Cricetulus griseus: one gene and its partner. The protein of the gene in region 1 purifies or fractionates together with the protein of each later gene. This does not show direct contact. Links are inferred from orthologs where the notes say so. Each region holds a gene or a part of one and is shown on either strand. Other genes may lie near its edges. The genes, in order: Rtn4 and NADH-cytochrome b5 reductase 3.

Region 1 (7,628 bases):
ATGTATGAATGCTTTTCCTCAGAAGAACTCTATTCTTCTAGACAGGTACCCAAGAAACTTCTAACATATGTGCAATCTGCAAGAGTCCAACTTAGAAAAGCTGATGAAGGGACCCTGGGTTCAGCCCTCAACTCCAAAGGGAAAAACAAAGGAAAAAATAGTAACAAAGAAAGGCTGGGGAAAAGATATTTTTCTGTCATTATTCACAATTTTTTGTATGTGTACACATAAATACATATTTCATTCATATAAAAGCAGCTCTTTGAAAGAAAAATACTGTAGAAAGCTTGGCTCCCATGTGGCTATGTCAGTAGATAATGGGACTTTTAAGAAGTGGGGATCACAGCTAGAAGCCTTTCTGCCCAACCCTGTAATTCCAGGATGAGGTAGAAGGATCCCAAGTCACAAAATAAATTAATTTACATTAATATTAAAAGTGGCGGAAGCTGGAGATGGCTCAGTATTGGCTTCACTATTGAACATGGGGCCACAGAGTCAAAAAAGAGACCAGCCTACTAGGAAGTGGTTGTGATTTGGAGGACTATTCAGGAAGAATGAAGGAAGTCGTTCTAGTGTAACCTTGAGTTCTCACAAAATGATGGTCATAAAAGACCTAGACTGGTTTCTGCCTCCTCCCACATTTCCTGTCCCACCATGGAGTTGTGGGCCTCTAGTATGGGCTCTCACCACCGTGGTAACACCTACCATAAGGTTTTTACCACAGCCAGGCTGATGGCAATGCCATGCCTTGAAACCTCCTTAACTAGAAGCTTAACAAATCTCTTTTCTTTTGAAACTAAACAACACAGAGTACCAACATCAAAAGACTATACTCAATACAAATGCCCTCTCCTCATTCCTGACACCTGTACACAGACACACCCTATTCTTTTTTTTGAAGAACAATTTTAGTGTCATGATATAGCAGCAGCTTTGAATGGCAGAATATTAAAGCAGGATAATAAAATCCAGATTCTTTTATTTTGCATTCAATACCCTTCAGAATTCAAATCAATTTATCACACACTTTCAGTCACTCCCATTACCAATGTGTCTAGAGATCAGCTTAGTCATCTTAACTGATGTTTGCTGTTCTCTCAAATCAGTCTCTAAGGTTCCTTAGAACAAAGGAACCATTCTTCCAACAGGAAGTCTCATATTTCTCCAAGACAAATGGTCATCAAGTGAAAGGTGCAGGTCTCAGTATCAGTCACTACGTTACAATAGAGATAACTCTGCACAACAGCAATCAGAAAAATTTTAACTAAAGGAAATCGGAATTAACTAAAAATGAATGTAAACATCGAACTTAAACCCATAGGTGCTAGAGATCTATAGCCCCTCTTCCAGTTTATTTCTAACCATGTAGCCAACATTTCTTACATCCTTGTCTTTTTTCTCACTAACTTTCTCCCTCTGAACCTTCAAAACAACATTTTTTTGCTCCAAAATCACAACATAATGCACTCCTAAAATAACAATTTTTTAAAGCCACACATTTTAGCACGGCCTGGGAGGCTCTGAATTACCTGAGTGCAGTTACCACCTCTGCACTCCACCAGTTTCCTCACTAATGGACTTGATAAACAAGCTCAGTCCTGCCTAGGGGAATCTTTGCCCTGAGAATTCATTCACAATTTGTCTCTGCTGCTCAAACCTCCAGTTCTTTTTCCTATCATCAAGCATACTTTAAAAGGCCCTCACATATTTCAGTTATTCTCTCTCTCTGTCTGTCTCTCTCTGTGTGTGTCTCTCTCTCTTTCTCTCTCTCCCTCTCTCTCTCTCTTTGGTTTTTCTGTGGCTTTGGAGGCTATCCTGGAACTAGCTCTTGTAGACCAGGCCAGTCTCGAACTCAGAGATCCGCCTGCCTCTGCCTCCTGAGTGCTGGGACTAAAGGCATGCACCACCACAGCCCTGCTTCAGTTATTCTCATTCCTTAAAAGTGTTATCATAACACTATCATTTTTAGCTCCTTTTTATGTTTATTATGTGTATTCCTCCCATGAGGGAATCATGGGTCTTGCTTACTGCCACATCTTAGCAGCCTAGAATAGTGCTTAGTAAGGTTAAGAAAGTGTCCCTGGTAACCAATGGTAGGGATCAGTAATGGCACCAGGCAATGAACAATCTCTTCAGTGCAGTAAGAAATCTAGATGCACTGAAATGATTAACCATCAATGACCACATCCACTGTTCAATAAAAGAAATGGAAGTTTCCAAATAAATACAATTAGTACAAAATCCCTGAGTAGGCAATATTCTCTCCTTTGTCTTCTAAACTTAATATTTTAGCAGTCAAGATTTCAAAAAAATGTTGTCGTTTCCTGAGTTCCCTCAGTGTTCACAGGATAGCGCTATTCTCTTGCTCCCATACAGGTAGAGAAGATGATAATTGTGGTTTGTGGTTTTGGCAATCATTATGCTTCCAGTACTTTATTTTTTCTACTTTAGTTTCCCTCAAAAAAAAAAAAAAAGGTTAAAGATGGGCAAGCTATGGTAGTCTTTACCTTCTAAATATTGTTTTTGAATAGTGCCTTGGAGTATGCCCATAATGAATTATTACCCAGAAACATCCCTATTGGTTCATTCTTCCCATTGTGAGAGTTAATTGCAATTAAAAGAAAGAAAAAAAAATAATGTGAGCTCACTCAGGATGGTATTTTTCTAGGAAATGAACCACTTCCCAAATTTTGCAATGTTGTGAAATTTTCCCAGTTACACCACTTAATTTTTGACATTAACTTACAAAGAAAGATCTTACTGCTAGCAAAACACTACGTCCCAAAACAGTAAGATTTTTAAAACAATGTTCCTTTTAAAAATTTAAAAACATAATATACAATATCTGGAAAACTACAAACCTGTATTTTGTCAATCTAAATCATGTATTTCCAAAAACTAGCACTTCTAACCAATATTTGAAACACTGTTTCAAAACATCTCATTATGTGTCAGGAAAAATCTACCACAAGTTCAATAAACCAATTCCTGACCAGGAATCCACAGGCTTCCCCTATTTATGGTCAACCATTTTGCCTTTTCTCTAAGAGTCAATTGCGATACATTTAAAGGCTGAGAGATGCACATTAACATTTGGAGATTTGTTCTACCGTGCAACAGAGGCCCTGGAGAACTGCGCCCCATCGGAACACAATGCCCAGATCTCGTTTCCCTGGCTCAATGGAGGAGTTGCCACATTACACCCAAATGAGCTGGGCGGGGGCAGAACTTCACCCAAAGTCTCTGCTATCCAATTCTCCTGGAACCACGCCACTGGAGGCGCTCTCCCTTCACTGCAGTTGGATCGCAGTATAGACGTTAGTAGCTCAACCAATTCCCCACCAGTAAGAGGGGGAGGGGATCAGTGTCAAGGGTCTCCCGACGCCAGGCAGGAAGGCAAGCCTCGGAGAGACTGTAGGGCGGTCGGCAAAGGCCCCTGCTTTAAATAAAAGGGTTAGACGCCGTACGTAGCCTTCCCATTCCCACATCCAAGGCCAGCCCAGCCCAAGGAATCCACAACCCTAGTTCCTCGATACACACCTAGCTGCCGATAGTGGCTGTGCCTCCTTCGGGAGAGCGATGGAATGGGGACCAGAAGGAAGAACTAGGGGCTTGGCGGGGTGCACGTGCTCCCCGAAACCCGGACAGACAATGAAGGCGCCCGGGCTTCCGCGGCCGCCCCACCCTTCTGCCTTCCTCCCGCCTGCGGGGGCGCCATCGCCCTGCCGCTCGCAGACAAAGCCCCTCGGGTCCCGAGGCAGCCCTGCCCGCGCCCCCCTTCCCTCCCCGGCTCAACATACCAAGAGGGAGGGGCGTGGGGGCTGGCGCGCCGCGACACTCACCCACTGAGCCCGAGCCCCTGCGCTTGGGCGCGGCCGGCGTGGAAGGGGGCGCGGCGGGCTCAGCCAGGGGGCTCACGCCGGCTGGGGGCGGAGGCGGAGGCCGCGCCGGAGGCTCGTCGTCCTCGGGGAGCTTGGAGGGCAGGACTGCGGCAGCGGCAGGCAGGGACTGCGCGGGAGCCGCGGGGCTCCGCTCCCAGGACGGCTGCCGCTCAGGGGCAGCAGGGGGCGCGGCCAGCAGCGGCCCACGGGGCGCCGGGGGCACAGAGTCGCTCCCCAAGTCCAGCAACGGCGCGGCGGCGGCGGGTGGCACCGGAGCGGCGGACAGCCCGGCGGCCGGCTTCCTCTCCAGCACCTCCAGCTCCTCCAGGTCCTCGTCCTCGTCCTCCTCGTCCTCCTCCTCCTCCTCGTCCTCTTCGTCCTCGGGCTCCGTCACGAACTGGTACTTGAAGGCGGGAGGAGGAGGAGGCCGGGACGGGCTGTCCGCGGTCGAGGAGACCAGAGGCGACTGGTCTAGGTCTTCCATGGCTGGGCCGGTCCGAGATGATGCTGCAGCTACTGCCGCTGCCGGGCCGCTTCTCCTCACAGCCGCGGGCGGTTGTGGGGGTTGGGCAGGACTGACAGGGGCCGGGCAGGACGAGCGAGGAACCTGCAGAGGCGACGGCTCCCCGAACAATGAGACGTCTCCTGCCTCCACGCCCGAGATGCGCCACCCGCCCCGTCCCCAGTTACAGCAGTCGCCGCCGCCCAGACGAGCGAAGAAGAGAGGCCAGCAGACTCCCCGCCCAGTTTGGCGTGACTCACCTTCCCGGCGGGGAGGGGTGGCTGGCTGGCGCGGGAGACAGAGAGCCAATGGGCTGCGGGATAGAGAAGATGGACAGAAGGCCTGTCCAATAGAAATAGAAGGAGCGGGCGGGGCCTGCCGCACTTCCTCTCCTGCGGGCGACGTTCGGAGGGCGGGTTTTGGAGCTAGGCTCCACCCCTACCTCTAGTAGATGCGGAGTGGGGTGGGGTCCTGGCCTTGCCTACAGCTGGATTTTAGTCTATGGGTACTGCGAAAGGGGATGGGCGCGGCCCCAGGATTTGGAGAGTTTTCCAATAAACCAGCTGAAGGGCGTTATCCTGGGGACCTAGGAGTGGAAAGTCCTCCCCGCCCCCGAAAAGGAAAACGACAGTGGAGAAAGGTACTAATAAGACTGAAGTAGGCCCTACAGATTTTTAAAATAAAAGGTTTATTTTCAAACAAGCTCCCAAATCATAACTACCACCACCTCGAAAGGAAAAATATAAAAACACTGTTTTGACAGTTCAAGTTCACTCCCCTTCTAAACTGCAGGCCTGGAATGAGCTAGGCAAAACAGCTGTGGAAGATTATCTGGGACTCTGGGGCTCACTGCTAGAATGCTCTTCCAAAGAGGGCTTTTGGGCTTGCTTTCTGCTGGACTCTTAAAGTGCTAGGAGAATGAGTCACCCAGAAGGGGTACCGGGAGGAACGTAGAAATAGATGCCATGGAAGGCAAAATTGGTTGACTGCTCTTCAGTCACCTTAGGCTGATGAGTCAACATCTCAGATGAGTCAGGCTTCGGGGAGTCAGGAAGCCCTACTACACTCAGTGGCTTGACATGCTGGAAAAGCTTGTCCATTCCCCTCCTCCATCCCCGCCCCCGCCATGTACTTCCCCCGACCCCAAGTGAGAAAATGGTTGAAGAACATAGAAGAAATAGTACCCAGAGGTTCAGAGAGTCCTTTTATCTTTCTGATACACCTTTCAAAAATAGTGGCTGCATGTCTACTCTGGAGGCCTGGAGAGAGGATTGCCGGTATTCCAATTGTTCCATCTACATGTGCACTGTGTACTTTAATGACTGGCTGCTTTAGGTACTGAGCACCGAAATGAGGTGTGCTGTGTGAATAAAATACACACTGCATCTCCAGAATTCATAACAAGAAGTGTTGTAATCTCTGCTTCACATTGGTTTTATGTTGGCATTCATAATATCTTGAATATACTGCAATCCATTATCAAATTCACTTGTATTCTTTTTGAAGCAGCTTGTAGAACCTTTAGATGCATATTCTAGTGATTAAGACATGTGTTTGTCATGGAGAAATTGTTGGTTTTTTAAGCAAATTCTTAATCCCAACAAATTAAGGTTACCCTAGATTTAAGTACTGAAACATAATTGATGGAGGAAGGAACTTGAGAAATGGCCCAGCAATACCTTCAACTTTTTCACAGGATCTGAGTTCTGTTCCCAGCACCCAAGCCGCTCATAATCACTGTAACTTCAGTTATAGGGGCTCCTTCACCCTCTAATAGCCTTCTCCAGAAACTGTACACGTGACACGCACACTCTCTCTCTTTAAAAAATAACAATAATAAAAATTTAATGGAGCTAGAAAGACGACTAGTTAAGAGCATTTATTGCTGTTGCAGAGGGCCCGAGTTCAAGTTTCAACACACACATGGTAATTCCCAACTGTCCATAACTCCAGTTCCAGCTTATCCAAAGCCCTCTTATGACCTCAGGAGCAAGGCACCTGCATGGTACACATACATGCACACAGCATAACACTCATACACATAAAACAGATCTTTAAAGAAATGTTCTTTTAAAACCATCTGGCAGTATTTATTCTGGAAAATAAGAGAGACACATGAAAAAGACACCTAACTATTCCAGCCATGGTGCTGTTCTCTCAAAAATGTGAGTTCATCCCAGAATGTACAGCCAATATAAATAAAAAATAATGAATCACTGTTTTTTTTAAACCACTGCCTTTTTTAGGTGATTCATTACACAACAGAAATTAATTGAAACATGCATTTTATGTTTCTATTTTGTTTTGTTGATTCCTACAAAAATATGCATTGGGTGTGTACTCTGTATCAGCACCAAACAAAGCAGATGTAATTCCAGTTAAAAGGTCACTACTCAGAAAATAGGCCATTCCAGTTCTATAATATTAAATACTGTTGCAAGATGTTTGATACCTAAACTTTTGTGGAAAAGCTATTTGCCTTGTAGCTTGTATGCCCCTTGTGGAAAGGCTATTTGCCTTGTATCTTGTATGCCCCTTGATGGATGGATGTATTCCTGTCGACATTGAAAGGTTCAGGCAGATATCTAGGCAGCTTAAAGGGCCTGTGTTTCGTGGCCACATCATGGCTATGTCACTCATTACTGGGCTATGTAGGGACTCAGTGCACATGCGACCTTCCCTTTATAAACCCGCAGAATTATTCTCCTCTCTCTCCCCGGTGGTTGACCTCTCTCTCTCTCTCTCTCTCTCTCTCTCTCTCTCTCTCTCTCTCTGTCTCTCTCTTTCTCTCTCTCTCTGTCTCTCTCTCTCTCTCTCCTCTCTCTCTCTCTCTCTCTCTCTCCTCTCTCTCTCTCTCTCTCTCTGTCTCTCTCTCCCTCCCTCCCTCCCTCCCTCTCTCTCTCTCTCTCTCTCTCTGTGCCCTGCTCTGTTCTTCCATTTCTCTCTCTCCCCCTCTCACTCTTCCACCCAATAATAAACTGGTTAATGTGCTCACTATAGTACATGTCCATCTCTCTCAAATTTCTAATTTAAGCATAAGAATAACAGACATACTGGAAGATCTGAACTTCAGAGTGGGTTTGCCCATACTAGAAGAAATATGAGAGATGGATTCCATACAAAACTGTTTCAAGAGAAGTCTGCCTTTTCACTGAAAAAGCCTTGGCTGTTTTTAAGTGACTGCTGAGTTACAGCCAGTCTCTCTACTGAAAAAAATAAATAAATAAACCACTGACGCATGATTT
Region 2 (7,296 bases), on another chromosome or scaffold:
TGGTGTGCCCCGTTTTATCTCCCCCAGCAGGGTTCTGAGTACACAGTCAGGTTCGCCAGCTGGAGTTCCCTTGGCCTGCAGCTGGCCTCCCAGAGCTGCCACACACCTGGATTGTTCCTGACCCTCTACCGTGGGCTCCTGTTGTAGCATGAATGGGGAATGTCCCCCATAGGCTCATGGATTCAAACATTTGCTTCCCAGTTCATGGTGCTGTTTAGTGACATCCTAGAACCTTTAGGAGGTATAGCCTTTGGAGGAAGTACATCACTGGGGACAGACAAGTGATCTCTGCTTCCTGTGTGTGGTTGAGATGTGATTCCCCAGCTTCCTGTCTGCTGCCGTGCCTTCCCTGCCATGATGGACTCTAGCTCTCTGAAACCATGAGCCAAAACAAACTCTTCCTTAAGTTGCCTGGTCATGATGCTTTATCACAACAATGGGAAAGTGACTAACACAGAAGTGCAGCTGTTGCCACATCCCCATTTAACAAAGGAGGCTCACAGAGGTCCAACATGGAGTTCAGATTTGGTTCCATGTGTGGGCCAACCAACAATCCTCACTCATCCTAAACCCACCAATGCTGGACAGTTTTGAGGGCAGTGTCTTTGTAGACACTCCTGTGTCAGGACTCTGGGTAGGTCCCTGAACATAAGCTAGGGTCCCCACACAGTCCCTCCACCAGCCTTGGGTTCAGAATGGTCCACCTCTCCTGTCTCCAGGTAACTTAGGGTTGCTTGGTCACCACTATCCCAGCACTTGGTGCAGGAGGCACTCAGCAAATATCTGTGCAATTACCGAAAGGACAACAACATCCTTCTCTCCTGATCCTTCAGGTTTCTCTGGCTTCTTGTGTTGTCTAGAAAGTTCCAGAACCAGGACAAAAGCCAAGACTGCTCCCTAATGAGAGAAGGGTTCAGTCTATTCTATTTCCCTTACAGACCTTAGGCTTAGCACAGGCTATGGAGGGAGCCAGACCATCTGCCCCTAGCCCTGGAGCATGCTCAGAAGGTACGGGTTTCAGGAGCCAGGACCAGTCTCCTGGCTGTTCCCAACAGGCACTGCCCTCTTACCTCAACCCTCAGGCTGCATCTGGGAGGTGCTATCATCACTCCCAACTCAGGTAAGAAAACAGGTGCTTCAGTGACAAGCCTGAGTCCAGGGTTACTTCTGGACACTGAGAAGTGAGAGGTAAACCTTTTCTAATATAAAAATTCCTGTCGGGCATTGGTGTCACATGCCTTTAATCCCAGCACTTGGGAGGCAGAGGCAGTCGGATCTCTGTGAGTTCGAGACCAGCCTGGTCTGCAGAGCAAGTGCCAGGATAGGCTCCAAAACTACACAGAGAAACCCTGTCTTGAAAAACAAAAACAAAAACAAAAAACAAAAACAACAAAAAAATTCCTATCTAGAAAGGTAGCTGTGACAAGCCATCCTAGCTGCTATTCATTCAGCCAACAGCTTCAGCAGGCACTCCTGTGTATGTGTGCGGTCCAGGCCTAAACCCCATGCTCAAGGAGCTCAAACTAGAAGGGGAGACAGACCCAGTCACAGGAGAGCTGAACCAAGGCCAGGAGCAGTAGAGTGAATGCTTGATCTCTAAAGTCAGAAGCTCAACCAGACTCACTCACCAGAAGGCTGGGTGTATTGTATCCTCACTGGCATAGAGTAAACAGGTGTCCCCATCCCTCCATGGCACCACCCTTGTCCCAGCAGCAGTGGCCAAGTAAACAGGAGGCAGTTGGCTGAGGCCAAGTCACTGCCCCAGTTCCTCCCAGCTGTATGAACACACACACACACACACACACACACACACACACACACACACACACACACACACACACACACCATCGTACTCCAACTAGTTACAAGTCCATGGGGGCAGCTGCTTCCCAGACCTTGACCCTCGGGTCATACCATGTACCAAGAAACCAGCCCCTTCTTCTCCTTGCTCTGAAAGAAAAGAAGGATAAAGGAAACTGGGTGCCAGGACCCAGGAGGGAGCCCTGAACTCACTTACCATCATAGCTAACAGGTGCACAGCCTGCTCTCCACCCAAAGGACACCCTGCCTGGCTGCTCTCTGGCATTTTTCCCTCTAGGACCCTGGAATCCAGTCTGTCCAGGTTGAATCAAGAGAGTGGGCAAAGAGCCCAGTCCCGGTCTCCCTCCAGGTGCCAGCTCCCTAACTTGGGGCTTCAATAAACCAGTCATCAACTCACTTACCTGCCCACCACCCACTCGTCAGCTGTCCTGCCAGATCAAGTGACCAGCCCTCCTGGTCTTGTTCTAAGTGGGAGGAAGTAGGAAGAAATAGAGGAAGTCCAGAAGCAGGGGGGCTTTGGGCTGGACTCCAGATTATGGGGGAAGGGAGCCCAGGAGAAGGAACATGTGGATAATTGAGCCACCCTCTGTTGATTCTAAACTACCAACCAGGCTCAGGGTTGCTGAGCCAGTGGGAAGGCCTCATCTACAAGAGTAATAGGTCTGTCAGGGCTTGCTGGAACTCACGGACAGGCAGAGAGGCAGTCCAGATCAGCAGGCTAAGCATGCAATGTTTTCCACTTGGAGAGCTGCCTTGAGTGCCATCCTCTGGGATGGAGCCCCCAATATATGCAGGAGGCCTCCCACAGGGCCTGCATGGCCCAGATAAGACATCTGGTACACCCAATGCCCAGCAGCCACCCACAGAGCACATGGCCTCCAGGACAAGAGGCTGGATTGTGTATACTGTGGGCACTGGGGACTAAGTGGGACCCCAGTTGGTCCCATAAGTCAAGGACAATAGCAAGCAACCCTTGGACAAATGAGGCCAGGTTGGGGTGGTTTTCTGATAATTAGACAGAGATCTGCTGTCTGCAAGGAACTACTGTTGACTTAACATGAATGGATACAACAGCCAGGTGCTGGGGTGCTGTGATTAAACCCCCCAAAAATGGTCCAGAAGGTAAAGAGAGCCTGGAAAGCAGGGGAGAGCAAGGGGACCAAGGGCAGTCTTTGGGGAAACTGGTCAGAATGTCATTGTGGGGTGATGTCACTTTGGAGTGATGCCACAGGCTTGCCTTGGGCCAGGCTGCTCCTTGAATGGACCATCCTGAATTGGCCACTCTCTCAAGAGCAAATGCCAGGCCAAGAAGACAGTTGCCTGTCTTCACCAAAAGTCTTGGATCTCAAAGAGAGAACACCCTCCAAGATAGGTGCTGGCCTAACTTTCCCACATCCAAAGAGCTGGGCACCTCAAGGCCAGGATGTGTTTATGCAGTTGGGGCTGGGCACACTTTATATGGACACTCTTAAGAAATCAGGGAGGTAGGGGGGTCTGGAGAGATGGCTCATTGATTAAGAGCACTGCCTGCTTTTCCAAAGGTCCTGAGTTCAATTCCCAGCAACCACATAATGGCTCATGACCCTGTAATGAGATCTGGTGCCCTCTTCTGGCCATGCAGGCAAAACAATGTATACATAATAAATGAATAAATCCAAAAAAAAAGGAAAGAAAAACAAACAAGGGAGAGGAGGTGGTCTCCAGAGTTGCCAAGGAGGCCCCCAGAGTTGCAGCAAGAGGGCAGATTTATAAATATTAGAAGGACCCAGCATCCTAAGTGGCCAAGTCTAATGACACTTTAGTGACAGCATAGTTGTGTGACAGGTGGCCAAGTCTAAGTGATACTTCATTGACAGCAGAGCTATGTGAGTAACAGGAATAGCCAAGGCCTGCCTGCGTGTGACAGCAGAAAGTGACAGACAGCATGAAAGATCATGGCCTTGTTTATGGCAGGAAGATGCACCCAATCCCTGATCTAGAGATATCCTACACACTTCACCCATGCACACATGCACCCCAAAGTACTCTGGCCCATGCCAGCTCACACGTGTCCACTATTCACACATGCGTGTCTTTACACTCACACCTTCATTTTCTACACACACACACACACACACACACACACACACACACACACACCGTACCTATTGGTTCCTCCACGAACACACCTGTGCACTTACAGTCACAGTGCACGTTCACAAAACCCTCACCTGTACACTCGTACAGACACGCATTTCACATTCTCAGTCGCTCCAACTTTCTCGCTCTCACAAGTCACGTCCATTCACGCGGTCACACACGTCACTCGTTCCCTGTCACGGTCGTGCACACCCAGGAGGGTCCCCCAAGGTCCGCCCCGCACCCGGGTCCCTCTCTGGCCTGCGGCAGGGCCGGCATGGCGCGGCCACTAGCCAGGGTGTGAGTCACGGTAAGCAAGGGGCCGGGTGGGGCGCAGTGTGCCTGAACGGATGCTGGGTGTCCCGGATCGTTTCGTGTCCCCACGGTGCGCGCCTGGTGACCCCAGACCCCTACCACCTACCGTGCTCAGCTGGGACCCCATGGTGGTGGAGAAGGCAGTCGCTGCGTGGTTCTACACCCGCTACTCGGCCGGCCGCTCCCCCAATGACCCACCCCAGCCGCAACACCTCGGAGGCGGGGCGGCTGTGCGGAGCCAGTCAGGAGCGCCATGGTGGGCGGGTCGGGGCGGAGCCACCAGTTTCCCCGCCCACCACTTCCGTCCTGAGAACATAGGAGTGCGTTCTGAGTGGCTGACAGCACTGCACGGAAGGGGCTCGGCGGGACCCCTGCTGTGGCGCGGCTGTGTGGCATCGGGCGGTAACTTGTCGCCTCTGGACCTGTTTTGTCCCGCTGAAGAGAACAAGATGGCGCCCCCATGATAGGCTCTCAAATCCTGAACCTTCGGTCCTGGAGGCCTGCAGAAGCTAGCTGTGCTGGCCGGGTCTCAAATCCGCGCTCCAGGGTGTGTTGCCAACACTGCTGGCCACCGAGTTCAGGCCACAACCCTGCCCCTGCCCCCTGCCCCACTTCAAGCCTTTGAACTGGTTGCTCTCTCCTGAACAAATTCCCCAATTTGTACTGAGGTCCGGATTAAAGTTCAGGTGTTACCTCTTCAAGCAGGCCGCCTCTGACCCTACGCTCCCTGGAGGAACCCCGATGCTGTAGAGTGGTCTTTGTAGCGCTTAAGTTATCCCACCTGTTCATTCACGATGCTCTGCGTCCTCATACCCATCGTGCTGGACTGTGGGCTTCCCCAGATCAGGACTCTGCAGTCAGCCCCCCTGTGTGCCTGGAACCCAGAACAGAGTCTATAAATGATCAATAGTGGGGAAGTGAATGCGTCCCTGATATTTCGGAATACTCTTCAGCGTGGTACTGGCCAGATAGAGAAGGATAGACCACTTTGAAAGCATCCAGAACCTGCAGAGCCTGGAGGTGAGAATAAAGTGGGGAGAGGCAGGAGGTGGGAGAGGCTGAGACAGGTGATATGAGACCCTCAGTGATATGAGACCCAGATGAGCATAAGAGTTCAGAGGGCAGGAGTGAGAAGGGGACTTGCTGCATAAAATAGGGAACGAGGGCTTGCCGTGGCTACCCATGTATTCAATACCAGAAGAGGCAGGTGGATCCGTGTGAGTTCCAGGCTACACAGTAAGACTTTATTAGTTACTTTTTTGTTGCTGTGATAAAACACCATGACCAAAGGCAACTTTAGGAGTTTATTTTAGCTTACAGTTCCAGAGGGGTAAGACTCCATTACGGTGGGGAGGCATGGCCACAAGCAGCAGGCAAGCATGGCCGGAGGAGTCAGATGCTGAGAGAGAACTTCTGGACCTTAAAGATAACCAAGAGAGACAACTGGAAGTAGGGCCAGTCTTATAAGCTCTCAGGTCCCACCCCCAGTGTGACAGAACTTCCTCCAGCAAGACCACATCTCCTAACCCTCCCTGGATAGCAACACAAATTGGGACCAAGTCTTCAAATGCCCGGGCTTATAAGGGGCACTTCTTATCCAACCCACCACAGAAACCCTGTCGCAAATAATAAAACGAATAAATAAAGATCGAACTATGGCTGGCAGATCTGCAATTCCAGAATTTGGATGGGGGAGGCAGGAGGATAAGGGATTCAAGGTTATCCTTGGTTACACACGGAATCGAGGTTAGCCTATGCTTCATGAGACCCTGCCTCAAAGAAACAAACATGGGAGGGTCAGCTACTACCCTGGACTATGAGGGCAGATCGGACGTCAGTTAAGTATGTTCTCCTTTTAATCTCAGCACTTATGAGTATCACAAACCCAAGGCAGTCTGTTCTAGAGTAAGACCTTGTCACAAAGGGGGCAAGAGTGTACATGTGGGGGGGCTCTTCTTACTCCTCAAAGTAAGTAGACTGGGAAGTGTGTCCTGGAGACTAGTGTGTACTGGAGACTAGAACTGTGGTCCTCACAGCATAGCAAGCACTGTTCCTTCTTATCCTTTGTGCCATCTCCCCAGTCCTCACTGTTGCCTTCCTTAGGGTCATTATTGACTGTCCATCTCTTCTATCTGGCTGAACTTCTTCATAGTTGTTTCTCTTCCTGAGGGTAACATGGGTCACAAGTCACAGTCAACTTCCCTTACTGAGGCATCTCTCTCTGCTATTTCAGAACCTGTCTGCACTCATACTTCAACCCACTGGCAATATTTTTTCTTTTTTTCTAGTGGAAAGGTGTTTGGAGACAGGTTTCTCTATGTAACAGCTCTGCCTGTCCTGGAACTTTCTTTGTAGACCAGGCTGGCCTCCAACCCACAGAGATCCACATTTCTTTGCCTCGCAAGTGCTGGGATCAAAGGCGTGCGCCACCACTGCCTGGCACCTCTCCTGATATTTCTATGGAAGCTGGAAAGGGAACTGGATATCACATCATACTAGCACAGCACCCAGACTAGCTGTGTGACCTAAAGGCCATGTTGACTCATGACCTGAGGCAACAGAGCTGATATCAAAGTGGAGAACAGTGGAAGTTGATGCAAAAATCTGGACAGGTCTTGTCAGCTTGGGGGAGGGAAGAGGCATGTGGTCAGGAAAGTCACTGTGGCCACAGGACTGCAGAGAGGAAGAGTCACAGGTTGGAGATATGACTCAGAAGTTAAGAGCACAGGCCACTCTTCCAGAGGAGTAGAGTTCAGTTACCAGTACTTCCAACCGCCTTAACTCTAGGTCTAGGGCAGTGGTTCTCAACCTGTGCATCTCAACCCCTAATGACCATCAGAAAGCACAGACATTTACATTATGGATTCATAACAGTAGCAAAATTACAATTATGAAGTAGCAACAAAAATAATTTTATGATTGGGGTCACACACGAGGAACTGTATTTTGTTCTGTTGAGGTTTGGTTTTTCGAGAAGACACGGTTTCTCTTTGTGGCTTTGGAGCCTGCCATGGAATTCACTCAGTAGACCAGACTGGCCTT

Evidence for each region.
Region 2: the proteins of Rtn4 (region 1) and NADH-cytochrome b5 reductase 3 purify together in Homo sapiens (affinity purification with mass spectrometry; 3 studies listed by BioGRID and IntAct, counting the BioPlex papers as one, with this or other methods). This does not show direct contact. The link is inferred for Cricetulus griseus from reciprocal best matches to the Homo sapiens genes RTN4 and CYB5R3.

What each region holds. Positions count from the first base shown.
Region 1 is NW_023276807.1:77,576,160-77,583,787, forward strand, and holds the start of Rtn4 (reticulon-4), read right to left. Parts: upstream 4,616-7,628; 5' UTR 4,366-4,615; coding exon 3,801-4,365; intron 1-3,800. UniProt on the Homo sapiens protein: Required to induce the formation and stabilization of endoplasmic reticulum (ER) tubules. They regulate membrane morphogenesis in the ER by promoting tubular ER production.
Region 2 is NC_048595.1:380,061,801-380,069,096, forward strand, and holds the start of NADH-cytochrome b5 reductase 3, read right to left. Parts: upstream 4,517-7,296; 5' UTR 4,382-4,516; coding exon 4,361-4,381; intron 1-4,360. UniProt on the Homo sapiens protein: Catalyzes the reduction of two molecules of cytochrome b5 using NADH as the electron donor.